Mus musculus: one gene and its partners. The protein of the gene in region 1 interacts with the protein of each later gene in a pairwise test. Links are inferred from orthologs where the notes say so. Each region holds a gene or a part of one and is shown in the gene's direction. Other genes may lie near its edges. The genes, in order: Trim27, Eif4e, Pus7l, Tbc1d22b, Zbtb16, Zc2hc1c and Josd1.

The links.
Region 2: the proteins of Trim27 (region 1) and Eif4e interact in binary tests that used the Homo sapiens proteins (3 or more experiments, as listed by UniProt). The link is inferred for Mus musculus from reciprocal best matches to the Homo sapiens genes TRIM27 and EIF4E.
Region 3: the proteins of Trim27 (region 1) and Pus7l interact in binary tests that used the Homo sapiens proteins (3 or more experiments, as listed by UniProt). The two-hybrid records come from large-scale screens. The link is inferred for Mus musculus from reciprocal best matches to the Homo sapiens genes TRIM27 and PUS7L.
Region 4: the proteins of Trim27 (region 1) and Tbc1d22b interact in binary tests that used the Homo sapiens proteins (3 or more experiments, as listed by UniProt). The link is inferred for Mus musculus from reciprocal best matches to the Homo sapiens genes TRIM27 and TBC1D22B.
Region 5: the proteins of Trim27 (region 1) and Zbtb16 interact in binary tests that used the Homo sapiens proteins (3 or more experiments, as listed by UniProt). The two-hybrid records come from large-scale screens. The link is inferred for Mus musculus from reciprocal best matches to the Homo sapiens genes TRIM27 and ZBTB16.
Region 6: the proteins of Trim27 (region 1) and Zc2hc1c interact in binary tests that used the Homo sapiens proteins (3 or more experiments, as listed by UniProt). The two-hybrid records come from large-scale screens. The link is inferred for Mus musculus from reciprocal best matches to the Homo sapiens genes TRIM27 and ZC2HC1C.
Region 7: the proteins of Trim27 (region 1) and Josd1 interact in binary tests that used the Homo sapiens proteins (3 or more experiments, as listed by UniProt). The two-hybrid records come from large-scale screens. The link is inferred for Mus musculus from reciprocal best matches to the Homo sapiens genes TRIM27 and JOSD1.

What each region holds. Positions count from the first base shown.
Region 1 is NC_000079.6:21,178,710-21,182,730, forward strand, and holds the start of Trim27 (zinc finger protein RFP), read left to right. Parts: upstream 1-1,221; 5' UTR 1,222-1,785; coding exon 1,786-2,205; intron 2,206-3,274; coding exon 3,275-3,370; intron 3,371-4,021. UniProt on the Homo sapiens protein: E3 ubiquitin-protein ligase that mediates ubiquitination of various substrates and thereby plays a role in diffent processes including proliferation, innate immunity, apoptosis, immune response or autophagy.
Region 2 is NC_000069.6:138,553,691-138,557,190, forward strand, and holds part of Eif4e (eukaryotic translation initiation factor 4E), read left to right. Parts: coding exon 1-31; intron 32-1,699; coding exon 1,700-1,814; 3' UTR 1,815-3,500. UniProt on the Homo sapiens protein: Acts in the cytoplasm to initiate and regulate protein synthesis and is required in the nucleus for export of a subset of mRNAs from the nucleus to the cytoplasm which promotes processes such as RNA capping, processing and splicing.
Region 3 is NC_000081.6:94,537,008-94,540,507, reverse strand, and holds part of Pus7l (pseudouridylate synthase 7 homolog-like protein), read left to right. Parts: coding exon 1-455; intron 456-3,500. UniProt on the Homo sapiens protein: Pseudouridine synthase that catalyzes pseudouridylation of mRNAs.
Region 4 is NC_000083.6:29,548,565-29,552,601, forward strand, and holds the start of Tbc1d22b (TBC1 domain family member 22B), read left to right. Parts: upstream 1-1,237; 5' UTR 1,238-1,374; coding exon 1,375-1,430; intron 1,431-4,037. UniProt on the Homo sapiens protein: May act as a GTPase-activating protein for Rab family protein(s).
Region 5 is NC_000075.6:48,833,426-48,837,540, reverse strand, and holds the start of Zbtb16 (zinc finger and BTB domain-containing protein 16), read left to right. Parts: upstream 1-1,315; 5' UTR 1,316-1,487; intron 1,488-1,599; exon of another isoform or gene 1,600-1,753; intron 1,754-4,115. UniProt on the Homo sapiens protein: Acts as a transcriptional repressor. Transcriptional repression may be mediated through recruitment of histone deacetylases to target promoters. May play a role in myeloid maturation and in the development and/or maintenance of other differentiated tissues.
Region 6 is NC_000078.6:85,287,424-85,291,390, forward strand, and holds the start of Zc2hc1c (zinc finger C2HC domain-containing protein 1C), read left to right. Parts: upstream 1-1,167; 5' UTR 1,168-1,362; intron 1,363-2,128; 5' UTR 2,129-2,147; coding exon 2,148-3,458; intron 3,459-3,967. Other genes in the region: Acyp1 (acylphosphatase-1), read right to left, coding at 755-920.
Region 7 is NC_000081.6:79,685,073-79,689,300, reverse strand, and holds the start of Josd1 (josephin-1), read left to right. Parts: upstream 1-1,428; 5' UTR 1,429-2,383; coding exon 2,384-2,568; intron 2,569-4,228.

The sequences.
Region 1 (4,021 bases):
AATATTCTACCATTTACTGGAAGTGTGCTGAGTTGTTTTGAGCCTGGAGTTTCAAAGAGCAGGTGGGGAGAATGGAGGTTTGGATGAGCGAGACTTGTTAAGTACCTCGGATTTCTTGTCCCATAGGGAAGAATCAAGCAGAATCCAGTGAAGTGATGGCCTGGATACAGAAATTCCCTGTTGCTCAAACACAAGGGCAGGCACGGAGTCAATCCCAAAGGAGAGTAGGAAAGGCCATGGCATAAGTGACAGCGCACAGAACTGAAAACCTATTCTGTGATAAGAAACCAGGCTACAAGACCTCCTCCGGTCATCACAGGACTCTCGATTGGGCAGAAACAAGCAAGTTTTAGGTTCTACTCAATGTCATTCGATGTACTGGGTGCTTCATTTAAACTAGCGGATAAAGATCTTTATGCTCAAGCTGTGGTTTGTTTGTTTGTTTGTTTGTTTGTTTAAAAAGGTGTAACTCCTTGATGGGGAAAATTCCTGAAAGCAATAGGGTATGGGAGCTCAAGGAGGGCACTGAACTAGATTGCTGGGAGTAAGAACTTATTAGAAGAGTTATTAACGTCATGGGCAGAAGGACAACACTACAGTGGACAATCAGAATTTTTGGCCCCAGCGCCGCAGGGCCCAGGCTGGAGGTGAGGGGTGGGGGTGGGGGTGGGGGTGGGGGAGTGTTCTGAGAATGAGGCCCACGTGGCAGAATCCGGGTTGTTTCTTCGAGGGTCTCATAGGAACCCACAGCCACGTAGGTTCCTCAGCAGGTGGCAGGGAAGACGAGAGAGAAGTGTGTCGCCAGGCAGCCCTTTGACACGTCGGGTCTGGCTACTCACTTGAGGAAGTGAGACACTGGGCACCTGAGGAGCCTGAGAAGAAGTTAGGGACTCACAAGCGGGCTCTCGGTGGGGTGGCTCCCTAGTAACGGTAGAGCTAGGGAGATGGGGGAGGACTTCATGGTCTGGTCAGCACTCTGGTCGGGATTCGATCGGTCCCCATTTCACACGAGAAGAAAATGAGGCTCGGAACGATAAACCGATTTACTTTAGGGTGGAGATAGAACTGGGCTTCTCCGTTTCTGCCCCTGAGAAAAGTTGCTGATGATTAAACCCTTTTCTAGCGATTGTTAACGCCTGGAGCTGGGTGTGTCACACTGGGAGGGGCCTAGCTGGTCTCCCCGCCCAGCTTTCCGGCATTTATGCAAAGCCATCTTACTTTTAAAGGAGCCGAGGCCTAGCCACTAAGAGGAAACTCAGCAGAAGACTACGGGCCCACAGACGCTTGGAGTGACCCGACGCCACTGCCAGGGGACACTCTGCTCCCACTGCACGCGACAGCCACGACCGACTCCCGGGCTGGGTGCCGGGGACCCAGGACTGTGCAGAGGAAACCCGCTTTCCCGCCCCGAGAGAGCAGAGCGGCGCGGGAAGCCAGGCCCCGCCCCCGGCCCACCTCTTCCGCTCGGCCCTGAGGAGTCTGCGCGGCCGCGGGACCCCTTCCGACGCGGCCACGTTGCCCGGTGAGCCAGCCCGCGGCGCCCGGTTCCCGACTCCCCTCGGCTCGGCTCTCAGCCGGGCTCCGGGGCCCAGGCCTCCTCCCCGTGCTGTCGGTGAGGAGCAGCTGTGCGGGGACGGGTCTGGCCGCCCGAGAGCTCCGCGCGCGTCTGCGATCCCCGCGCCGGAGGCCCCGCCCCGCTCCGGAGCCGAGAAGCGGAGCGAGCGCGCTGAGCTCCGACAGAGCTCGGCTCCGGGCTCATGCCCTGCGGCCCAGCCGGCCCGCGCCATGGCCTCCGGGAGCGTGGCCGAGTGCCTGCAGCAGGAGACCACCTGCCCCGTGTGCCTTCAGTACTTCGTGGAGCCTATGATGCTCGACTGCGGCCACAACATCTGTTGCGCGTGCCTGGCCCGCTGCTGGGGTGCCGCGGAGACTAACGTGTCGTGTCCGCAGTGCCGGGAGACCTTCCCGCAGCGCCACATGCGACCCAACCGGCACCTGGCCAACGTGACCCAGCTGGTGAAGCAGCTGCGCACCGAGCGGCCGTCGGGGCCCGGCGGCGAGATGGGCGTGTGCGAGAAGCACCGGGAGCCTCTGAAGCTGTACTGCGAGCAGGACCAGATGCCCATCTGCGTGGTGTGCGACCGCTCGCGCGAGCACCGCGGCCACAGCGTGCTGCCCCTGGAGGAGGCGGTGGAGGGCTTCAAGGTAGGGCCGGGCCGGCGGACAAAGGGGCGAGCCGGGGGCTTCCTGGTTTGATACCGAGAAAATGGCGAGCCGGACGTGGGGCCCACCGCCGTCATTTCCTCCCTGTCGGCTGCGGAGCCTCCGCACTCAGACTGGGAAGGAGAACCTGTAGCTGGCGAGGCCAGGAGCACCCCCACCCCCACCCCGAGCGCCCCTGCTAACCGCCTCTACGCGTGCCGCGACTGGGACGGCGCGAGGAGACCCTCCCTTGACAAAGGAGATGCACATGGAGCCAAGTACACTTCCATAGGCCTTGAACGCCTCGAACTCGCTCTGACCCAGGATACCAAGCCAGACAGTCACTGTTGGCTGGCTGAATTCACATCGAGCAGTGCCCATCACTTAATCTGTGTCCCCAGCACTTCCCTGTAAACCTGTTTTAGAACTGAATGGAAATGAACAGAGCTTTTTACTGCTTAAGTAAATCATTTAGCCACTCTCAGACTCGGGAGATGGCTTATTGTGAAGGGGAAGTGAACTCACAGGACCTTTGTGGAGTGTTGAATAAACACTGGCACAGCTACACAGTAGTACGAAAACGTTACATATAAAGTAGCTCTGAAGTGATAATGATCTTGAGGGCTGCAGGGATCTATACCAACAGAGTTATATATTTGTTTAAGTGTGAGTTCATCCAAATGTCAGTCACGTTTACAAAGCTGTCACCTGTATCATTTCACTCGCTGGAGATAAGTTGTAATTTAGTAATGTTTACTGATTCTTTGAGGAAAATAAATCTTTTTTTTTTTTCTGTATTCATCTGAGAAATAGCTTACCTTTTGAGCCTCCTTACCCAGATGTCTTGTAACCGCTTCTAGGAACTGGTAGGTGGCTAGAGTTTAAATAACAAATTGCTAACACACTTGCTGGCCCCTGTGCTTTGGGCTCTTCCCAGGAGTGGCATTATGGTCTGAGAAGAGAGTCCAGCGGGGCCTTGGCATCTGTAGTTTGGGTTCATGTGTGAAAAGCAGAGTATTCTGATGCTGAGATCTGCAAAATCTTGAACTGGCCGACTATTTACTTTCTTCAGGAGCAAATCCAGAACCGACTGGACCACCTAAGAAGAGTGAAAGACTTGAAGAAGAGACGGCGGGCACAGGGGGAGCAGGCCCGAGCTGAGCTTTTGGTAAGGGTCCAGATCTCCAGCCTGCAGAGGAATTGATTGCATTAGGATAGTAAGCTTCTGAACTGCTCTGAAAATCCCTGACAGTTCTCGGCCTTGGCAGGGGTGTAGTGAGAAGCCTCTAAGCAGAGCCTATCAGCTTTGGGAGGTTTGTCCAGAGAGAACTAGCCCCTGGGAATCCCGAACCCTGGGCCTGCTTCTTGGGTCAGACACTAGCCAGTTTAAGTGGAGTGGGTGCAGGCTTTCCGGGCCTTAATTTCTTTCTGTTGGAATAGAGGTCAGACCTAAGAAACCTGTGGATCTCCAGCAGCCAGTGCTGCCGCTTCTTCCCTTGAAATACGTGTTTTGGGTTGAATCAGAGACAGTGTGTGGAAGTGAGACGAGGCTGCCAAGTGGCCTGCAGTAAGAAACACCTGTGCCAGGGTGTAAGTCACACTGCTTTGGATACATTGCATGAATTTATTTTTAGCTTTAATGTTACCTAAGATTATATTGTGTGCTTTATGACTTTGAAAGACTTATCCAGCTTAAAAGAGGTCTGAGTAGAGGGCTCTTGGAGCAGTTGAGTTCAGGTCAGGTTTTAGCAAACTTTCTGAAAAGAGCCAGTAGTAAGTAGTTTTGCTTTGTTAGTTTACACAAGCCGAATCACAGCAC
Region 2 (3,500 bases), on another chromosome or scaffold:
GTGAAAACAGAGATGCAGTCACACACATAGGGTACGTTGTGCTCTCCTCCTGCTTCCTTGACCCTTGGTTAATTAAGTGTGTAGATGTCTTTTATGTGCAGCTTTAGACACTTGGTGTTTATAAACTGTTATTTTCTTTGTAAATGTTTTCACAAACAAAAGTTTGGATCCTGTTAATGTTGAATGTGTTTGTCTGTTTTTCATTAATGTAAAATGGTTTTTGCAGCAGTGGTGTGTGCACTGTCTGCAGCAGGTGTATTTCCATAAAAAGTATCATGCCTTAGTTCCTGTCCATATTTAGAGCCCATGTGTTTAGAAGTTTCTCTCTCTTTTTTTTGTTTACAATTCACACACATCAATTTTGTTAGAATTCTCTTTGATTACATGCAAATCAGTAAGAAAAACCAAGCTAGATTCTAAGTGGGATTACAGGGATTCATTCATTGTTAGCTTGTCATTTTTCATCTTGTAGTATAAACATTGACCTGTAGCAATGTTGTATTTAAAAAAAAAAACAGAAATTAATGAATTTGTTATAGAACTTTTTGTGTCAATATTAGATGTTTTGAAATCTTTAAAACATTCTAACCTCAGTTATTCAAGGAAATATTTTTTTTATTGCTTCCAGTTGACACATTTTAACTTCTCATTGCTTTGTGTGTATGTGAATACATTTTTTAATAGTAAAGAGTTTTTTAAAAAACCTGTTATGGTACCATTTCATACTTAAAAAATACCTGTTTGGAAGAACTGTGATTCTGCCGGGGGTAAAGCTCGGTGAAAGTGGGTCTTCCTCATATTGTTTCTGAGAATTAAACATTCAGATTTCTTTCTAAGATTAAAAATTAAGTCCTCTGCTCTTTTCTGAGGTGCTTGTTAGCCTTATTTCATACTCACAACCCAGCCTCACAATTTTCATTTTTTTATAGCACTTGTTTTTTTTTTCAACCTTTAGATGTGCTTCATTCCCTGCAGATTAAATTGTTAATACCTTGACATCCCTCTATCCACCTCTCTACTCATCCACCCATCCATCCACTTGAGGCAGGATCTTTGCATACCTAGCCCTGGCTGTCTCAGAACTCACTAGAGATATCTGCCTCTGCTTCCCAAGTGCTGGGATTAAAGGCGTGTGCCACAATGCCTATTCCCTTTTTTGGTCTTTTAAGGAGAGATTTCTCTAATACTGCAGATAAGCTTTAGACTCTCTGAATTTAGTTGATAGTCATACAGTTAAACCTTGTTTAGTTAGTATACATCACATTTTATTTTTAAAGTAATCACAACTAATTTGAAATTGGTTTGTAAAGTTGGTACATAAAGCAAAATAGAATTCATATGTAAATACAATTTTTACTTTAGTTTTTGAGATAGGCACTTGCTATGTTAACCAAGCAATTGCTGTGAGCCCATGGACTGATCGTGTTTTGCTTGTTACTGATTTAGTAATAATTGTATCTTTTTATTAGTAATAATAAAAACAAACCTGGTGAGATTACAGGTATCTGTAATGTGATTAAAGTCTGGCTGTGAAAGTAAAGACTAATTTTTAATTTTGCTAGTTAATACTGAGAGAAAATTAACACATTTCGACTTGCATTGCTAATGTAAAGACTAATATATGATAGATTTATAAAATACATATGAAGACTTTATCTTTTTTTTTAAAATATTGTTTCTTGTCTCCCATGTCTTGTAGGAGGGTATACAAGGAAAGGTTAGGACTTCCTCCGAAGATAGTGATTGGTTATCAGTCCCACGCAGACACAGCTACAAAGAGCGGCTCCACCACTAAAAATAGGTTTGTTGTTTAAGAAGACACCTTCTGAGTATTCTCACAGGAGACTGCGTCACGCAATCGAGATTGGGAGCTGAACCAAAGCCTCATCAAAGCAGAGTGGACTGCACTGAAGTTGATTCCATCCAAGTGTTGCTAAGATATAAGAGAAGTCTCATTCGCCTTTGTCTTGTACTTCTGTGTTCATTCTCCTCCCCCACCCCCAATTTTTGCTAGTGTGTCCACTATCCCAATCAAAGAATTACAGTATACGTCACCCCAGAACCCGCAGATGTGTTCCTGGCCCGCTCTGTAACAGCCGGTTAGAATTACCATGACACACACATTTGCCTTTCCACAGTATTCGAAAAAGAACTTGCATTTCTATTACCTTAGCAGGAAAGATCTGGTTTTGCTCCACTCCATGCAGGAGCGGACTTTGCTGGTGTGAGAGTCTGAGTACAGCTTTCTAGCAACCTTCTGTTTCCTTTCACAGCATTGTCCTTGCTGTCCTCTTGCTGATGGCTGCTAGATTTAATTTATTTGCTTCCCTCCTTGATAACATTAGTGATTCTGATTTCAGTTTTTCATTTGTTTTGCTTTTGTTTTTTTCCTCGTGTAACATTGGTGAAGGATCCAGGAATATGACAGAAAGGTGGAATAAACATTAAATTTGTGCATTCTTTGGTAATTTTTTTGTTTTTTGTAACTACAAAGCTTTGCTACAAATTTATGCATTTCATTCAAATCAGTGATCTATGTCTGTGTGATCCCTAAACATAATTGTGGACTATAAAAATGTAACACCATAATTACATTCCTAACTAGAATTAGTATGTCTGCCTTTGTATCTCTATGCTGTACTTTAACACTTTGTATTCTTAGGTTATTTTGCTTTGGTTACAATGGCTCAAGTAGAAAAGCGGTCCCATCCATATTAAGACAGTGTACAAAACTGTAAATAAAATGTGTACAGTGAATTGTCTTTTAGACAACTAGATTTGTCCTTTATTTCTCCATCTCTAGAAGGAATCTGTACTTCGTATTGCAAGGCAGTCTCTTGTGTCTTCTTAGAGTGTCTTCCCCATGCACAGCCTCAGTTTGGAGCACTAGTTTATTATGTTTATTACAATTTTTAATAAATTGACTAGGTAGTATCACATGTAATTACACTGATGTGGCTATCTTTTTAATAAAGTTAAGGCACAGTTGCTCAGTCCTAGGTTGAGTGATGGACTTTGACTATGTTACAGTTGATGAGGATTGGGGTTTTGGTGCATCACCATTCGGTAGGAACAGCGGCTAGAAACTGATTGTTGGGTTTAAGATGTTTTTACTTAATGGCCAGAAAATTAGCGTAAGGAAAGTATATAGAGAAACATGCGTTAGGGACATTAGTGTTACTATCTGAATAAAACACAATAAACAAGTATTAAGAACTACTTATATTGGTCAATTGTTGCAGTATGGTTTTCTGTAAACTTGAAACCTTGATCTATTCTTTGTATCATTTAAAGCAAACATGAAGACATTTTGTCTGCAGTACGTAATTGTATAGTTCAGATCCTGTGAGATGAGGTGTGGCTGTTAACGCCGAAGGGTAAGCTGAACTGTGGGTAGCAGAGTGGAAACCATTGGCTGAGAGAAAAATGCTCTTTAAGTGGTGGTTGTTATGAATTCACACTGATAACTTGATAAAGATCCTTATAAAATACATACGGAA
Region 3 (3,500 bases), on another chromosome or scaffold:
AACTGAATTAACTGAGCCATCTCCTGAATTGTCCCTAGGCAAGATCCTTGACAAAAACCGCAGAGCTGTTCTGCACAGTGCTGTGAGGCAGGCCTTTCCTTTTTTGATCACCGTAGGAAACCAGGGTGAAGTTGTTGTAAAACCAAACCGTGAGTGTAAAGAACTCTGCCGTCTGGTGTCGGAAGAGGAGGCTCTTGGCTTTTTCAAATATTTGGACGCAAAGAAAGAAAATTCCAAGTTTACCTTTAAGCCGGATCCGAACAAGGATCACAGGAAGGCTGTGCACCATTTTCTCAACAAGAAGTTCGGAAACCTGGTGGAAACCAAATCTTTTCCCGGGCAGCACCACAGTGCTGGGAACCCAGACTCAGCCATAACTGTAAGATTCCGGGAAAAAGCACGCGGGAAGAGATCTCACCCGGAAGGCTGCGAGAGAGGAAAAGCTGTGTACACAGGTAACTTAGTAACTCATCCTTTCCTTGTGTAAAATTTGTGAACGGTGGATCATTTGAATAACGGGACCTGGTCATAGAGCTAGTGTAAAGACTATATGGACTGACTGATTGGGGGAAAGATGAAGCCTTGCCTTGTATGGTCAGTGTGAAAACGAATTTCATAAAACGGCATCTATACCGAACAGTCACGGGTGTGGAAAGCTGACGCGATTGTTTTGTGCTCGAGCAGTTTTGAGAGTAATGATTTTCCTGTTTTCAGAATAATGTCAACCATGATTAAGCATTTGGAGGTGAGACGGCTCTATTGCCATGCTTAGAAAGGGAAGAGAGACTCTAAAGTGCAAGATGCTCCCCGTCTCTCTCTCTCTCTCTCTCTCTCTCTCTCTCTCTCTCTCTCTCTCTCTCTCACACACACACACACACACACACACACACACACACTTGTCTTATCAGGCAGGGGTGCTCACACTTCAGCAAGTATTGTAACCCCTCTGCCGTATTGTTTTCTGAGTTCTGTTTCAGTTTCAGATTCAGAAGGCTTAGAGTGGAAGTTCCTCAGTTTCCCCCAGGCAGCATTTCCTGCCGATCTGGCATGGAGAATGTATCTTGAGAATTCCTGCTTTAAGGGCTATAAGGTCTCTCAAAGGCTGAATGGATCCGATGAAATGTCAGAGGACAGGTCTGGGGTTCATTGGTCACTATATGGTACTTGAGGGATAGAAAGTGTTTCCAGTGAGCATGTCTTATAAATTCATCTAGCAGACATTCAACAGTAGGCACACATGCAAACGGCACAGGGAAAGAACCGTGCCTCACAGGATTCTGGTGTGAGCGAGCCCTTCGAATTTGAAGTGCTGTGGGCTTGGTTTTGCATAGCAGCAGTTCACTCAGACACAGGTGACAGGTCAGGGCCGAATTAAAGACCTGGTGCATGCAAGGCAAGCCTTCTAACCCCGAGCTGCACCCCTAGCTGTTGCTTCTCTTCTTGAGACATGACCTCACTTAGCTGAGGCTGATCTCCGACACCAGCTTCGTAAGGCATCGTTAAACACTTTGGACACGGGAAATCTTTCATATGCTTAAAGCTCAGCATCCACAAAGGTGAGCGTGGGAAAAAAACGATACTATGAACGAGTTAATCTATTTTGAAGGAAAAGTAAAGGTAGGTTTACGTATAGGAAGAGAATTGCCGATTTAAAGTGATTTGCTGATGTATAGGAAGAATTGCGGATTTATAGGAAGGGATTGCATGATTTAAGTAGCTCTAAGGCTTATTTATTTCTCTGTCATATATTACATATGACTGAAGTTTCCCCTCCTTTCTTTCCCCCTAGTCTCTAACCACCCCCCTTCTTTTCTAGATCTACCCCTCTCAGAAAAGAGCAGGCCTCCCAGAGACATCTTCCAAACAAGGCATAATAAGCTGCAGTAAGACTAGGCACATCAAGGATGGACAAGGCAAGCCAGTAGGAGGATCAGGGTCCACAAGCAGGCCAAAGAGTCAGGGACAGTCACGCTCCCACTGTTAGCATTCCTGTAAGAACACCAAGCTACCCCACCGTAACACACACCCAGTGGACCTAGGTCGGTCGGACCCCTATAGTCTACCTGATCTCTGCGAGTCCCTTTGAGTAGCAATCAGTTCATTCTGTGGACTGGGGTCTCACGGTGTGTGACCCTGACCCCTCTGCTTCCTCCAATCCTTCCTCCCACTCCTCCACACGACTCCCAAGCTCCACCTAATGTTTGGCTGTGGGGGCTCTGCATCTGGTCCCATCAGTTGCGAGATGAAGTCTCTATGGTCACTGTGATGGTTCCGCTTGCTCGGTCCTCGAACACTCTGCAGACAGGACAAACTGTAGGTCAAAGGTTGTGTGGCTGGGTTGGTGTCCTGGTCCCTCCATTTGAGGCCTTGCAGAAGATAGCGGGTTCAGGCTCTTATTACTAGAAGTTTTTGCTAGGGTCACCCTCATAGAGTCTATGAACTTTCCATTGTACTGTTTCCACCTTGTCTCCCCAGTTCCAGTCATTTCTCCCAGTATCCCCCTCTCCAACACACACCTGATTCTTCTGTTCCCACCCCCACCAGTCCCCAGCCTCCCTCCTTGGAATCTAGTCTATTTCCCTTCCCAGGGAGATCCTTACGTCTCCTCCTAGGGCTTCTAACTTTTTATACTACTGGAAACAGTGCCAGTGATTTAGGTTAATGAGTCAAGATCTAAGAATCTTTTTATGCATTAGTTAGTTTTCCTGAAGTTAGAATTAATGGTTCACCAAGAGGCCAATATGATGATATCGGTGTATGAATGCAAAATGAGCAATTTTGCTTAGGTGACCTTTTATAAGAATCAAAATATCACGTATAAAAATATCTCTGCCTTCATGTGTTCATACACCTATCTATGTATTTATGTAATAACTTTACTATCCTTTAACTCAGGGAGTCTCAACCTGTGGCTTAGGACCACTCTGACTAACCTCTCTCTCCAAATATATTTACATCATGACTCATAACTATAGCAAAATTGCAGTTATAAAGTAGCAATGAAAAGAATCTTACCGGGTCCGGCTCACCACAACATGAGAACTGTGCTTATAGCTCACAGCATTAGGAAGGTTGAGAACCGCTGCTTTAAATGTTTACATTTAAACATTTAAAATATATTTTATGTAAAATTTACCATTTTATCCATTCCTGAGGGTTTTGGTTGAGAGCCTAGCCTTAATGGCTGATCGGTCTCTCCAGCCCACCATTGTCATGGACCAACTGTCCCCATTCATCTCCTGAATCTTAGCACCTTCCTATTCTGACGTCAGCGTCAATTGAATAATCACGCCTTCCTTTCAGTTCCCAGAAACCACCATTCTGCTTTGTATTAACGATTATTGATCTGTTCATATAAGCACTTGGAACCTGAGGCAGAACTGCTTTTATTGTATTCGGAAGATTGAACAGAAATGCAACCAATCAGGAGTCTTGTGTGTTGGAATGTAGGATATATGAGTGAAAATGGACTGCAACAACCTCCTCTAAGTTTCGGTGGC
Region 4 (4,037 bases), on another chromosome or scaffold:
TTTCTTTAGGTGGGAAAAGAAGGAGCCTTGAGAATTTGCCAGTATGTTGGGCCAGCAAGATGGCTCAATGGGTATAGGGGCTTACAGCCAGTCTTGACGACCTGAGTTCGGTGAGAAGAGAAAACTGAAGTTCTCCTTTGACCTCTCTCTCTCTCTCTCTCTCTCTCTCTCTCTCTCTCTCTCTCCTCTCTCTCTCTCTCTCACACACACACACACACTGAATAAATGTAATGTATTTTTCAATATTTAGAAACCCTAGGGTGTTAGTACAGAGATGGATTGAGCAGTAGCTCGCACATATCCACAGTTCCTTGTCTGAACAAACATTTCTTCGGAGTAGAAAAAGGAAGTACCCTCCATCTTCCCCCAAATGTCCCAGAACACACTCAAAAAAGAGAGGTAGTCATTAACATGACACCCAAAGGAGACAACATGCTAAAATTAGATCTCATTTTGAGTCAAAATTAGATTGAAAAATGAATCTATAGATGGAAGATTTATAGCCAGTTAATAAAGGAGTTGAGGATATTGGGGGTACATCCTTCATCTTCCTGATTGTTGCCATGGGGATGAACAACGTCCCTAGAGAAAATGCTACTTGGAGGATAAATTAGTATTTCCTAAGCATGACTTCTCAGTATCTGGATCCTCATAACCAGAAAGAGTCAGACCCGAAGAAGGGATTACATCACGAAGTTCAGTTAGCGGAAGAAAGGGGGAGTCTGATAAATCAACTGCTACTCATACAACAGTTACCCGCACTGGGGTATGGCCGGAACTGTCCTCTGCGAAACTAGGACCATAAGGGAACAAGGCGGGGGTGGGGGGGTGGGGGGGTAACCACCCTGGGTGCCATTGAGGTGAGGGACATTAAAAAATGTTCATTATTACATGAGGCCTTCCTTTAAAGACTAATGTATACAAATGTTATGGTTTCTCCTTACCCCTCTCCACCAAGACAACCCCAGAACCTCAGCCCATCAAAGGCAACAGTCCCATCTACTTCTTCCTCGCAGTACCTGGTTCTCTGCCTCCGGGGAGTAGGAACTTTCAGCCCCGCCTTCCTGCCCATCTAAGCCCCGCCTCCCCGGCCCACCTGTGTGCCCAGCCCCTGACGTTGCCGCGGGCCTTCAGCGGCCCGCAGGATCCGGGATCCTCATTGGTCCATCCGCCCACCGGCCTGCTCAGCCCACCAATGGCAACGGTGTTGGGCGGGGGGAGTGCCCACATCCAAGATGGCGCCCCCAGGAGCTGGGAGCGGGTGACCGGCGGCGGGGAAGCGGCCTGGGCTGGCCCTCAGATTGCGGGGTCCCGGGGGCCTGTCGCGGGGCCCCCCCGTGACCCACCGACCAGGCCTTCCCCCGGGCCGGAGAGATGGCCGCCGAGAACAGCAAGCAGTTCTGGAAGAGGAGCGCCAAGCTACCGGGGAGGTGAGCCCAGGACGCTGAGGGGAGTGGGGATTGGACCCAAAGCCTTCCAGATCCTGGTCCCTGAATCCCTCCGTCTTGGGGTACCCCCGAGGCCGGAGGGCTGGTGTCGGAGTAGCCCAGGCTGGAGCAGCTGTCAATCAGAGGAGCCTGGCCAGCTTGGGTGTGGGGTGCAGACTGGGGTCTGGGGGCGGGGAACCTCAGCTGGGAGGTGTCAGGGGACCAGTGTGAGGGGCAGTGGAGTTGGGCGAGTTGCCATTGTCAGCGTAGCCGTGGAGGGCCACCTGCAGACCGCTTCCGACTTTCTACAGAACTCCTTAGGGGTCTCCAACAGCATGGGTGGCTGCTTGCATGAGGGTTGGTGGCCCCATGGCCTTGGTTCCCAGCCCATCATCACATTCCTGTCTTCCCTTGGACTCCCAAAGGGGTTCTGATAGGAGAGCCTGGGCCAGGCCTGCAGGGGTATGAGCAAGACAGGGGAGGGGGAATTCTCAAGCCTGACCTTACTCTGTCTTGAGTTGGTCCTTTCTTTTGAGAAATTATTACAGGGTGGCCGCAGGGTGGAGAATAAGTTATTCCTTCTGGCATCCCGGAGAAGTGATGATTTTTCAGTGTGGATGCATTAAGTTCTTTTATTCTTGTTTTGTTGGAGAGCAGACCTTTCAAGCAACTTATTCCCTTAGTGTTTCTTTCTCTTGTTAGTGTATGTTGACACTGAGCAATTGTCTCTCAGTCAGGCTGCCTTTTGGTTTACTGGTTCCGTTTGTTTTGGGTGATGTCCTGAAAAATGAAAGCCCTATGTGTTTCACTACTGAATTTAAGATTTCTGCCAGCCACAGGCTGCTTGGTGTTAAGAGTTTGTGTCTGGTCACCGCCCTCATGAGTTCTATCCTTAGTGATTTTCCTGTTAAGTCTTTTTTTGTTCAGGTGTAGTCCTTTGACCTGTGACCTCGCACTCTTCCCTTCCTCCTTTCCCTCTCTCTCTCCCCTCTTTCCCATTCTCTCTCCTCCTTCTCTTCCCCTCCCCCTCCCTCTCCTCTTTCTCCCCCTCTTCCGTTCTCTCTTCACACTGTTGAAGACACTCTGCCACTGAGTTACACACAGCCCTCGCCCCCTTCTTCAAGCGAAAGAGAAACTGAGAGTCAGCATTGGCTGTGTAACTTTTCTGAGCTGTCATTACACACGTGGAGAAAGTTGAGGGACCAGGTTTTAGCAATGTGTGCTAATATAATAGCAGGGGAGGCAAAGCTAGCTTTGGGTTGAAGTGCTGTGGGGCTAGGGTGTTCACACATTGAACAGTGACACTGTGTTTTTAGATAAGCTCCGCTTCCTGCCACAGATTTCTTTTCCTTCCTGCTTGAGTGAGCTCTCCAGCTGCGTGGACTGCTCTTCTCTGGGAGTTTGCTCTGGAGGGGTCATTTCATTTTGATATCCTAAGATAACGATCATTGGGAAAATGGTGACGTCAGGAAGCAGGGGTGAGGACAATGGGCGATGGATGGTCTTTGTGCCTTTGGACTGCCAGATGTGGTGTATTAATGGCCTTTTGTCTTTTTCTTCTACTGGCCTACAGGAAGTCAACTTTTTAAAAGTACCACTTTAAATAATTATATTTATTCATCTACTTAATCAGTGTGTGTGTGTGTGTGTGTGTGTGTGTGTGTATGTGTGTGTGTATGCCACAGTGCTCACGTAGAGGTCAGAGGACAATTTACAGGAGTCAGTTCTCTGCTTCCACCCCGTGGATCTCAGGGCTTGAACTCAGGTCATCAGGCTTAGCCGCAAGCATCGTTATCTGCTGAGCCTTTTTGATGGCCCAAAAGCATTGCTTTTGCTAGCTAGGAGGATTCTTCAGTTTCTTCAAATCTCTGGCTTCCTTTTTCATTTTGAAACATAGAGCCACAGAGGCAAGAATCTTGGAGTCCAGGTCACCACCATTTATCATTATTATTATCATTACCATTGTCATCGTCATCATCATTGACATCGTCCTTCAGATTCTCTGATCTGTAGGACTCACAATCTATTTAAGCTTCAGTTTCCTATGAAGTGGGGACTAAAAACTCTTCCCTCAGAATTCCCCGAAGGCTAACCAAAATGCCCTATTTGTAAAGAACCCAGGACAGTGTTTATTTAGTACACTGTACTTGCTCTATAAATAGTCATTATTAATTGTCCTCTTGTTATTAGAGCAAGCAGACATTTAAAAGGATGTGTCTCAGCTCCCCAGAGCTAGTTATTTGTCTCCTTTATTATAGAGGCATAAAAATGTTGCCATGATCCATAAACCCTGACCCATACCTTGCCTGGTGAGGGCGGTGTTGTCTCCTGTACACTCTTGGCAGAGAGTCCCAGACAGCTTGGGGCTGTGGGGAGAAGCTGGTGTTGGTTCCCATAGAAGGTGCTTTGGTTCCAGAACAGAACTTTGATGTCTGAACTCTTTTGAGTGTGGAGATGGCCGAGCATGTGCTGGGTCCTCAGAGATGTAGAGAGCTACTTTTCTCTTCTTTGCAGTTTGAAAGGTGAGAAAAGTCCAAGTTGTAACCGGTTACTTTCAGTTTCTTTGATCATGACAGAGTGACTTTAGCGACAGCAAGTAGAGATCTTGTT
Region 5 (4,115 bases), on another chromosome or scaffold:
ATCAAGATACGATTCTGTGGGTCCTGTGGGAGATCCGCGGTAAGCCAAGAACACAGCACCCCTAAACTGAAGCCTGGAACTAATACCTTAGGACTGGAGGGTGGGGCTGTGTGGGTGACTTTTCTGAGACCCCTGGGTGGCGCTCTCCACCACACCCCCAATAACACTGCGCTGGGGCTTTGGCCGGAGGCCAGTGCTCAGAAAAGAACCCTCCAACCTCAATTCCCTGCCTAGCTTCGTGTGCAAAGGAGGAGACGGTGCTTTCCGCGGGTAGAAGGAATATTTTTTTTCCTTTGGTCTTTCTACCCTACGGTTTGTCATCTCAAGTACGCCCTTTAAAATGGTCCAGCCGCTGAGGGAAGAAAGTACTCTGGAGCGGCCCAGCGCTCTTCCAAGCTTCCAGTAGCTCCTGAAGGCAGAGCTGAGTTAGGCGCAGAATCTTCAGAACTTTCCATCCAGGTTCCTGGGGCCGGGGAAGATGGGGGGGGGCGTGCGGGCGGGGAGGATGCCCGAGATTAGGAGTGAGAAAGTATTACTACTCAGGCCTTCGCATCTCAGTGTGCAACAATCTAGATAGCAAAATCGAGGTGCTGCCTCCTACCAGATTTCTACTGGCCCCTTTAGATTTATCTGGCCAAATCCGGCGAACTCCTGTGGTCAGGCATCAGAGGCCTGGTTTGGGACTTGGGAAACGACCCATTTAAAGCTAGGGTAAGGGAGGATGCGATCCGAATCCTGAGAAAAAGTGAAAAGCTAGAAGCCACACACTGAACTGGTGCAAATAATAAAAAACGGGACAAAACTGCGCTCTTGAGTACTGGAGTTGGGGGAGTTAGGGGCGCGGGATACACCGCATGCCCAGTGGAAATGAAAAAACCTGGGGCTAAAGTGGGAACCGCTTCTCCCACTCATCCTTCTGACCCCTTGGGGACTGCCAGGTCCTCTGCGGCTCCTCTTCCTTTGCAACCTTTTGCCCTCTCCACCTAGCCAACGAGCAGCAGCCGCTGCCGCCGGGGCAGCAGCTAGATGTCAGGAGAAGCCCGGAGCGCCGAGCGCTGGGAAGGGAGGGGAGCGCCCGGGAAGGGAGGGCAGGGCTGGGAGAGCGCACGGGCTCTGCCAGGGCGGGGGTGGGGCGGGGTGGGCGGGCCAGGACCGGCCAGGGGGAGGGGAGGGGGCAGCTGTGGGCAGGGAGCCGGGCTCGGCCGCCAGCACTAAAGATGGAGAGGCGCCGGGGCCTCGCAGGGGAGGGGGCTCGGCGTTGACGTGGGACGCGGCGGAGGCGCCGCAGCCGGTGGTGATTTGCTAACCTAGCGGCAGAGAGGAGTTAAGGGTGACGAGAGCGGGTACTGCGAACTGCCGGGCGATGCCGCCGCTGCCGCCGTGAGATCCGGAGCAACAGTTCCCCAGCAACACCCCTTCCCCGATCCAGGCACACCCCTAACCCCCCAGGCACGCACACCCACCCCAAGCTCCAGGCTCCGTAAGCGGTAAGTGTATGTGTGTAGGAAACCCGGGAAGGACTCGCACCGCCCAGCGACCGCCTCCCGCCAGGGCGCCCTGGGGCGGGAGAGGTTTAGGCGGGTGGTGCTAGCTTTGGCCACTCGGCCGCTGGGCTCGTGCGGGGTTCTCTGGTTGCTGCTGCAGCAGCGATCGCCAGTGCCCGTTGGGGGTCAGCTAGAAAGCGGCGCTGAGGCTGTCAGCTTGGGCACAGCTGCCTCACCAACCTTTCTTCTCCGGGCACGGTCCGGTCCGGGTGAGAGGTGGCAGGCCGGGAGGTCTGCCAGGGCTGCGGGCGCGTGTAGTCGGGGACTGGGTGTCTTTGTACAGGCAAGGGCTGGCGGAGGAGCAGAGAGCCTGTGGGTGCTCATATGTATGCGGACCGGTGCGCTTGGCGTGAGATAGGATTGTGTCTTATTTATTTGTGTTTATTCGCTGGCGAGCTGGGGAGCTAGACCCGGAGGAAGCAAGGAGTGAACCTGGGGGTCGGGTGGGAGGGGACTGGTATCCGATCGGGTTTTGTTTTCTTTAGAGAAAACGTGGTGGGATTTTTTTCTTCTTTTTTTGATTGGACTTGATGCCCTCTTTTAAGGAGAGAGGGACGCTTCGGAGAGACTCTGGCGCTCCGAGTCCTCCTCGGCTCTCGGTGGGAACGGCCGGTGGAGCGGGAGCTCGCTGTGCGCTCCCGGCCGCGCACGGTGGGTTCCCGGCTCTGCACCTGATGCATTCGGGATGTCTTTCCCACCCTGGCGCGCTGCAAGCTTGCCCAGCCCCTCGCACGCTCCCGCACGCGCTCGAAATGCGCACGATCCTGCCAGCCTGCGGACCCCACCGGAATGCACAGGAGCGCACCGCTGCAACCAGCTCGCCTCCTCCCCGCCACGCTCCCAGCGTGTTTGACTCGGGCACGCCGGCAGCTGGTGCGGGAGGCCGGGGACCCTGCTGGTGACTTCCCGGGGATCGTGATCTTGGGTGGAAGGTGGAGGACCCAGAGATCTCTTCTCATTTGGCCTCCCACCACTCGCCTCCAGGCTTTTGTGCATCCTTTTCTCCCCTGGGGGGGTTGCGCTGCCGGGCCGGCCTAGCAGCGGCGTCCAGCCCGCTCGGACCTTCTCCTTTCCCCAGGCTCTTTCGCTTTCCCCCTTTCTTAGTTCTGTTCCCTTTCTTCCAGGCACCTGACTCCTGGGGAAAAGTTGCTTTCCCAAGTTTGCCAAAGTCCTATGCAAGTCTCGGCGGGGGTCTCTGGGAACAAGGGGTGTGTTGCACCATCGATCCTCGGAGCTCTGGCGGGTTAGCGCTGGCTTTGCCCAGAATCGGCTGATCGCTGCACCTAGGGACGGTCGGATCGCGGGTGCGGAGCCGCCGGTTAGGGATAGGGCACCTTGATTTCCCTCAAGGCCCAAAAGGTTCCTTTGAGCAGCGAACCTTCTTTATTTTGGCTTCTCCCCCTTAGTTCTCCAAATCTCTGATCTCTCTCCCGAAAGCACACCGTGCTCATGAAGCTTTTGAGGAATGGATATCTCACCGTTCTTGATGATGCCCTCCGTTTCCACTTTAGGGTGGGCAATAAGAGTGGCCAGCCACTATTGTTAACTCTTTCCGCATGAGTTTTGCACCTAAGAGTCTTTAAGACTCCTGTCGAGGGTGAAGGCAAGCTCTGCGAAGAGTGGCTGAGAGCCTAGCTCTCTCCACCCTCTTCCCCAGGCTGTGGGAAATGTTGGCTACAGAGAGACAGAGGTTGGGACCTTATCCCGTTAGGTCTTTCTGCCTATGTCCCAATGGCTGTTCAAAGTTGGGAGCCTCTCAGTCATCCAGAACACTTTCTGGGAGAGGCCTTTGTGTTCCAGCCCTGTCTTCCCTTCTTTTGGGCTTAATTCACCCCAGAGATGCTGGTGCCAATGTCACTTAGAGAACCATATTCAATGTCAGTTTTTCTCTTTGTCGCTGGGCTTGCCAACACCTGGGAGGCATCCAGTCTGGTGTGCACTCTCAAGGCTGTTGGGAACATACTCTCCTATGGTGTTACCCACTTTCTCATTTTAGAGCATTCTGTCCATTGGGGGGCTTGTGGGCTGTGGGTAAAAGAGGAGGCTGTAGCATCTTGTATAATTGCATGTAGGTGTACATTCACGCGTGTGCACACCTGTGCACACGTGCGCGCGCACACACGCGCGCGCACACACACACACACACACACCTTGGACACATACAGCAGCTTTAAAGAACTTGTAGTTAAAAATGAGTTAAGGTAGAATGTGATGTGATGGGTGTGAGGGGGAGGGTGCGGTGTGGTGTGTTTGTCACAGCCTAAGTATGGGTCTGCCAATCCTGTGCAGCCCTGACTTAAGCGTGCAAGGACAGAGGCCATAGAAACCACTGGATGATGGAGAGGAGTCATGTCTAGGATGACTAGGAGAAGACAGCTTCATGGCCAGCAGATCTGGGACCACCATCATGTTTAACAGCCCTGGCTAGATCTGGTTGTCTCCTAAGGCCGTCTCAGTGAGCCAGAACTAGAAAAACATTGAAGATGAGGGCTTGCCCATAGGGGTGGACAGGAAAGCCGAATGCTTCTTACTTTTAAGTAAGTTTGTGAGCCTCATGGTGGACACTGGCCT
Region 6 (3,967 bases), on another chromosome or scaffold:
AAGAGACTCCAGTGGGATCCTAACACAGAGAGAGACAGACCCAGGGATGGGAAGGGGAACTTTTCTTGCACAAGGAAGTTATGTATACTTGAACACTAGAGATTCAGGGGGAGAGTATGGAAACGAGTTAGAAAAGATGTATGGGAAAACCCATAGAAGCTGACTGAGGCAGGGTCCTAGTCCGTGGGAAACCTCTGCAATGTGGAGAAGGCCGAAGAGCCAACTGGGAATGAAAAGAATGACTGACAATCTGCCCTAGAGAGTCCACCAAGGAATTTTTTTTTGTAGCGCATAAAAGCTGACATCTGATCTGTTGTATTAACGAGACTGCTGTCTACTTTATTTCCCACGTGCTCGAATCTTCTGTGTAGTTACAAGAAAAACGGAGCTATCTGTTCCAAAACAGCTTATCCAAATGAACTGAAGCACGAAGAAGACAAATAAACTCTCTTCTGTTGTCAAAAAGTTACAGAGGACCATTTAATGTTGAAATCAAGTTATGTTCATTACTGTTGATCTGGTTGTTAACTTTATTATTGTTACTTTTGGCTGAGTCATTCCTGGGCCCTAAGTAGTAACGGTCACGTGAGAGTGAAACGTTATAATAGCAAAATGATTAGATTGGCCATAGAAACTACCCTGGGACTATAACACGTAGTGAAATAATAGTAAAGCTAATATAATAGCAAGCGCCAAAGCATTGCGAGGGAAGACAGCCCGGAGCATGTAGCCTGGAGCTCTTACATAGCCCTACCTGGGGCCTGAGCGCAGTAGCCGAGCGCACTCAGAAGGGTGATCAGCAGTCCCACTCCCGCTAGCTGGACAGACTCCCGAATCCTGGGGCGGGATGATTCCGCAGCCCATCTAGGGGCTCCACCCTTCTCCAGACAAGGGCACACCCTAAGGTCTGGGAGCTTCATTCTCGGAGAAATCCAAGTTCTTCTTTGATGTAGCCCCAGAAAAACCTCTCCAACCCCTCCCCAAGGGAAACGCTGATCTGAGCTGCGGAGTTGGCTGCACCTCGACAAGTGACCCGACTGCACCCGTACTCCACCTCCCTTCCCTCCTCCCCTCCCCACCTCCCTCCCCACCTCCCTCCCCACCTCCCCGCACTCCCTCCACCACCTCCCTCCGTCCCTCCAACCCAATCTGCCCCGGCGGCTTTCGGATTGCTTGTGGACTGCGCCTGCGCACATCTGGAGCTAAAAGTTCTCAACCAGAGGCGGTGCTCTGGTCTCCAGGCAACGGGATAACAGAGGTGGACAGAGAGCGCCTGCGTGGACGGCGGTTGGGTTTAGTCAGGTGTGGAAAACTAGGTCTTGGGGATTTTCCCTGAGCTGGAGCGGCCCCCGAGCGCCTCAGGTACGCCGAAAGGGGAGATACTGAGACCTCCCGAGGGGTTGGAGAGTGAGAGTTTATCCCTAGAGGCCGGGTCCCAGTAAGGACTCCCGTTTGACCCTCTGGGACAGAACATGACTCTGGAGTTCCGGATCCAAAGCGGGCTGGGGCGCTCAGGTGTCTGTCACCCCCTCTCCCAACACACTCTCTTTACAAGCCTGGTGCGGTTTGAGCCATAGAGCATCTTTGCATGAGGGCTTGACAGCCGGGCACCTGCTTCAGGCCCGGGTGGCTCGTGCTCTTTGTAGTTTGTAGCAAGGGGAAAGTCCAGGGAGTGCTTTGGGCCAGGCCCTGTCGCCAGGCCACTGTTCTCACCCCGTAAAACCGTGGGACTGGACTCAGAGCGGCCTCTGCAATTTACAAGAACCCGGGGCTGGTAAGAGCAGGTTGCCTGTTTTGTGTCACGGACGACCTTCTATCTAAAGCTTTTCCCACCCATTCCATAAATGGTGTAGAGCAGGTCATCTACAGGCCTGGAGGAAAGTCAGTGGCAGAACACCTGTGTCACGTCCATTCTTTGGTCCTCGGGGCTTAGCAATGTCTGGCCTGGCACATAACCATCACTCCCTAAATGCTTATTGAAAGAATGTCCTGGCAGAGCCAACACCACAGTCCCGAGAAACGTTTAAAGGGAATGTGGGTAGGGCAAATGGACAAACAGTTTACTCTAGCAGCCGGGAGTGAACCTCAGACAAATTCTTCACATGTATCTGCTTTAAATCTCCCCTAGGCTTCGGTCCAGGCACTGAATGGCTGGTCTCCAGTTGGCTCCACATCTGCCTGTGGGCGTTATGTTCCCACATAATAAAACAGAAGCTCCTGGACTCCACTCAGCTAAGCACGACCCTTACGAACAAAGTGACTCTTCCCAGCGGCCCTCGATGGGACATTTGAGGAATAGTTTCCAGTCGAAGCTTTGGAGCAACACAGAAATGGAGCAGGAGGACGAGGTCTCCACCCGCCCCAAAAGGAACGTCTGCACAAAAGCCCGGAGGCACTCCTGTCCCCACAGTGCAGGAATCAGGCAGCAAGGCTCAGGGAACAATGCCCAGGGCCAAGGAAAGGGTCTGTTTTACTTGTCTAGTCCGACACCCCGGTATCCCAAAGCAAATGACCAGGACTTCATTCCCTTTAGGAGGAAACGAGTGGGAGTGGATCGGGCTTACCCACTGAAACCCATGGTCCACCGGAAGTCACATAGTACAAGTGATGCGGGCGCAGACGGGGACCAGAATGGCTACCCAAGACTCCCTGACTCAAGTGAGTTTTCAGACAACAGCTTTGGTTTAAGGAGCTGGGTGAATTCATCTCTTCTTGCCTCTGTGCAGGCAGAGAAGGTCGTGGCGGAGCTCCATAGGACCGAGTGGACCCAGATCCAAAGGCTCGAAGCTGCAGGGGAGAGTTTACAGAAGGAGATCCGCAGAAAGGAGATTCTCCTACAAGAAAAGCTGAAGAAGACAGAGGAGGGTCTTCGAAGGATGCAGAAGGAAAAGAAACAGGCCATTTTCCAGGAAGACAGAGAGCTACAAAGGATGGTACTACCTAGAAGGAGGGTTCGAGATGGTGACCATGACACCCCACACAAACCCTGCTTGTCCCCAGAGTTCAGGTCTGAGGTATTCAGTAGAAACAGGGGAGAGGATCAAACTTGTGATCAGGCTCAGGAAAACCCTAGTCCACGCCAGCTCTCTGATTATGAACTCCAAAAGCTCAAAAGGGAAAGACTGATGGCCAGTAACAGTAAAATCCGAGATCAAGACGCAGGACCCTCAGCAGACGCGTTCTTTCAACCGGCAGAGGAGCTGGGCAGTACACTGCAGGAGTCAAGTCGGTCCGGGACACCAGGCTCCTCTGGGTCCAGCTCCTCCACAGAAGAGCCAGAGCTGGCCAAGTGCAGCCACTGTGGACGATCGTTTCTTTCCCTCAGGCTGCAGAGACACTCCACCGTCTGTGGCAAGATGCAAGGGTCCAAAAGAAAAGTGTTTGACTCTTCCAGGGCCCGGGCGAAGGGCACAGAACTAGAGCAGTACTTGAACTGGAGGGGACCAGCCACAGCCAAGGTAATAAAAGCCTCCTAGATTTGACTCTGTGCAGGGGTGCGTGGAATGGCCTGCTACGCCCTCACTGGTTTGCTTGTGGGAACTGGGGTAGTGTAGGACGGAGGGGAGAATCAGGATTTCTGTTTGCCTAGTCTCTCTAGTCAGAGCTTTGTGTAGGAGCCTCACAGTTCTGTGAGGGTAAGAATCTTATTGTGTCCGTGGGAATGTCATTACATTCATTCAAAAACCAAGGCCTAGGCTTCCCCTAAACGGATACGTGTCTGCACGCTCGTGCACATGCTTGCACACACATTGGACAGTTTAAGTAGATTCTTATCTTTCAGTGATGTCCTCAGAGACCCATGGGTAGTAGATCTACAGTCAATTGCTAATCAATAGCTCTTGCTAGTTACTATCCTAACACCTTTATGAATAGATAAATCTTAACTTTAATTGACCCCAAAATCCAGACTTCAAAATGTATGTCCTTTTGATTATTATAAAAATGAATTCGTGTTTGCTGCAGGAAA
Region 7 (4,228 bases), on another chromosome or scaffold:
CGATTGCTATTTAGCATTGTATGGCCAGAAAAAGTTCAGTTTCAGAATACATTGCTATCTGGCTGGGGGGAAAGACTGTCCTTCTCACTATAGGACTTTGCCTAGAAAGGATATATATTCTGAATACTTGCTTTTCGAATTGAATGTTTTGGAGAATAAATATAAAAAGTAACAGTTGAGAGGTAATTCCTAATCATCTTTACATTCTCTTTCTGAAAACAATTTGGTCCAAGCTCAAACCCTTAATTCACTATAGACATAATGATTTCAAACAACTTGATCGACTTCTTTGGGCTGTATTTTTCTCCCTGAAAAAGAAAAAAAAAGTCTAATTTGCTTAACAATAATTAATTACTCATCAGTTAATTAATAGATGTTTACAATAATTCTGGTTGAACAGCAAGTCCCTAGGAGATAAATCCTATGTAAATACACTGTAACAGTTTGGTAGTTTACACATTACACACACACACACACAAAAAGATAATTCAAAAGTAGTCTAGGTAGAGGATGCCCTATCATGTGGTAATCTCTCAGATGTGTTGCACAATACTGTTGATTGGGGTGATCATGAGGATTAGAGAAACCATTACTTTGAAAGTGCAAATCTGTTGTTTTCCCTAACAAAAATCCGATAGGAAGGCAAGTTAGAAACAGTGACTTAATTTAAACCCATGGGAAACTGTAAATAGTCTGCCTTTGGACACAATGTACTCAGCTAAACTCAAAATACGGAGCTCTAGTTGGTAGAGTGCTTGTCTTGCATTTACCAAGGTTCGATCCCTTGCCCTGAACAAATTGGACATTCTTGGTTACGTAATGAGTTTGAGACCAGCTGAACTAGAGAACACACACGCGCACACACACACACGTCTAAAAAGAAGGATCAGAAGGGAAAAGAAAACACAGAAAGGAAGGCTTGTGACAGCCATCAAGAGAAGGTTGCTGATCAAAAGGGCAGTGGTTTGTGTGAAGTGAACTGGAATACGACACCAAGGATCTGAAATAGAACTCAGGTTTCCATTTGAAATATGACTCCCGGCGAGAGTCTTGCCCTCAGCTCTCAAAGAAAACTGGAGGCGGTCGGGTTCACCAACCAAGATTACGCCCGACCGCGTCGGTAAAGTGTTAGGAAATCTGATGAACATAAGTGGGCCAGGGCAGCCGCTGCCCGGGCTCAAGAAAGCACTCTGCCGGGAGGAGGGCCCTGCGGCGTCCAGGCGGGAGTGGGCGCCGGGGCGGAGCTGCGGCGAAGCGACAAGTCGACCTCCCCCGCTACCGCGGAGCTCCACAACCCTGCACAACGGCTCCGCGACCTCTAAGCACCTCCACCGGACCAACAGCCCGCGTTGGCTACGTCACACAACGTCAGGGGTGACGCGAGGTTGGCAGGCGGGGTCAGCGCGGGGGCGTGTCTGGGGCGCGCGCGGAGTGAACGCCGCTGACGTCGGGCTCAGGTGCGCGTGCCCGCCCGCTCCGCCGCCTGCTTGTCCGCGCGTGGGCCAGGTGGCGGCCCGCAAGCTCCAGGTGGCGGCGTCGGGGAGACGAACAGTCCCCGCCGGGCAGGCAGCGGGAAGGAGCCCGGGACTGGCCTCACGTGACAGCAGGAGGTCGCTGCGGGGACGGTCAGCCCGGTGGGCCAAGGCTGCACCGGGCGAGGCAAGGCGTCCGGCCGCACCCTCGCGGGCCAGGCGGGACCTCCCCGCGGCGGCGCCCGGGCTGCCGTTCCCCTTTCCGCGGCTCCTCCCGCGCCGAGGCGAAGCGGCTCCTCCGCTGGGCCGAGTCCGCCAGTCCGCTGGCGGTCATGGAGCGCTATCCCCGGAGCCCCCGCGCGGCCCGCGACCTCACGCCCTCCGATCCTCGCTAGCTCTTGGCATTGGGCCTTTTCTCCGCCACCCAACCCGGTCTTCGGAGCCTGTGGTGTTGTGATTCGGACGAAATGGAAGAAAAGGAGCGATGTGACCCCTTCGGTTCTGCCCTCCTGCATTGAGGCCTAGTTGGCATCTGCAGAGAGGAAAACACGGCCAGGAAAGCGTGGTGTTTCTTTTTTTCCAAAGGGGGTGGGAGGGGAAGGCGGCAGCCAAAGGGAGGAATCCTACGTTTTATATGTTTTTTTTTTCTTTGTTAATTCTACACTTTGAAAGTGTTGGCTAAATAAACTAATCCAAAAGTTATTTTTTCCTATCGAGAAGACAGAAAAAGGTAGATTTTTTTTTTTGTCCCTTTTGATTCCAACCTTTCCTCCCAGTGACAAAGCATAAATCATGAACACCAGAGAATAAATAGGTGAATCTCAGGAATCCGAAGACAGAAACCTAGACTTTCCTCAGGAGGGAAGGAGCGGAGTGTTTAGCGGCTCTGCCTGGAACCTAAATCGAAAAACATGAGTTGCGTGCCATGGAAAGGAGACAAGGCCAAAGCTGAATCCTCGGACCTTCCCCAAGCAGCGCCCCCACAAATCTACCATGAGAAGCAGCGCAGGGAGCTCTGTGCTCTTCATGCTCTCAACAACGTCTTCCAGGACAGCAACGCCTTCACGCGGGAAACGCTGCAGGAGATTTTCCAGAGGTAGGACTCCCCTGCTTGGCATCTCGATCCCCCCCACTTCTTGGTATTTCTGAGTTTGTGTGGGTGGTGCAGTGTCTCGGGGACAGAAACCTTCAAACCTACAGGTTTGGAATTTAGATGCTGGGGGCAGGAATGAGGCACACAGAAATGGCAGGCAGGTAGTCACCATCTATGGTCCATCTGTGGTGGACTAACCTCAGTTGTGCTGTCTCCACGGCTGGAGTCAGACAGAGGACTCCGTGTGGCATGTGTTATTCCCATTTGTGATGAAGACAGGGCTCAGTGGGTCCTATCTCCACTGGTGGTCACTGCTCTATTGCCTCCCTAACAGACCTGCCACCAAGGAGTTTACAATCTAGGAGGGATACAAAATACATCCACATTCAGCCATCTGTTACCAAAGGTGGGACATGGTGGAAATCTCAAGAAAAGTATACCCACAATGCTTAGCTGTTCTGGGGCCATGTGCTGCCTGCCCATGGTGTGTCCTTCATTTGTTCTGTGTGACTTCCTCACAGTTCGTTTTACTGATAGAGAAATGAATAGAAAGGTCAAGTAATTTGTTCAGAGTAGCTTCTGAACCAGCTACGCTGCGATTAGAGCAGACTCCAGCTCTCTCCTGCTGTGTGATAACTTTAGTGGGGCTGGTGTGAAGTTCAGTGATAAGAATGCTTGCACATTACGTAGGGGGTCCTAAGTGCAGTCCCTAAAAGTGTGTCCCTAAAAGACTGTAGAACAAATATGCCACTCTACAAGTGGTCCAGGGTACAGTTTTATGCCCGTTGCTTTGCTTTCTGAAGGGCCTTGAGAGTTAGTTCTATAGTGTCTGACTGGACCCAGCAACATGACAGAAGTTCATAGCAGCTTTGACAGTGAGCCTGTCTTACCCCTCCAACTGGAAAAGACCTCAGGACAGAGAGAGCTCAAGGATGCTGTAAGTGGTATACACTGAGGTCCTCATTTGGAGCTGCACAGGAACATGCGGTACAGCTAGGATGTTTGGGGTGATTGGTATGCCTAAGTGTGGACCACTTAACTTGAAAGAACTACAGGAGTCTCTGAGAAGAGCTGTATCCTGAGTGCTCTTACAGAACTACAGTGAGAGTAATTACTTTCTAGTGCCAGTGAAAGATCAGAGGGCAGCAGGGCCGATGTGCCACTTGCTCTCTGTAAGTACAGCTCAGTCCTCAGAAGACGAAGCTCTGGGGGTAAGAAAAGGTGTCTTCCACCACCCAGTCATGTGACAGAAAGGAGAGCCCAGGCTACTTCTGAACGACTTCCCTTTGGCCAGCTGTTAATGTTCTTCTGGGTAGCTCTGAATTGTTTTCTCATCTCTAACCAGGGAGAAGGAAATGACTGGCCATGGGCACCTGAGTGTGCTCGCTGCTACTTGGTACTTAGAGCAACCTTAGCCATGGCCTGGGAAGCCCAGACAGAGTTGCTGTCGTTTGCCTAGTTTTACCCACCAGTAAATTAATGTCAGATTGTATGTAGTTAGTCACGGTCAGGTTGACAGGTTCTGACCTCTGTGAGTTTGGCTCCTGGACTGACAAGGGAGTTAATGAGACACTAACAAACCAACTCTCTGCTCCATTCTGAGGACTCCCTGTGCAGCCGCAGAGTCCTCACACCCAGCTTGGGAGGTAGGCACTATTGTTTC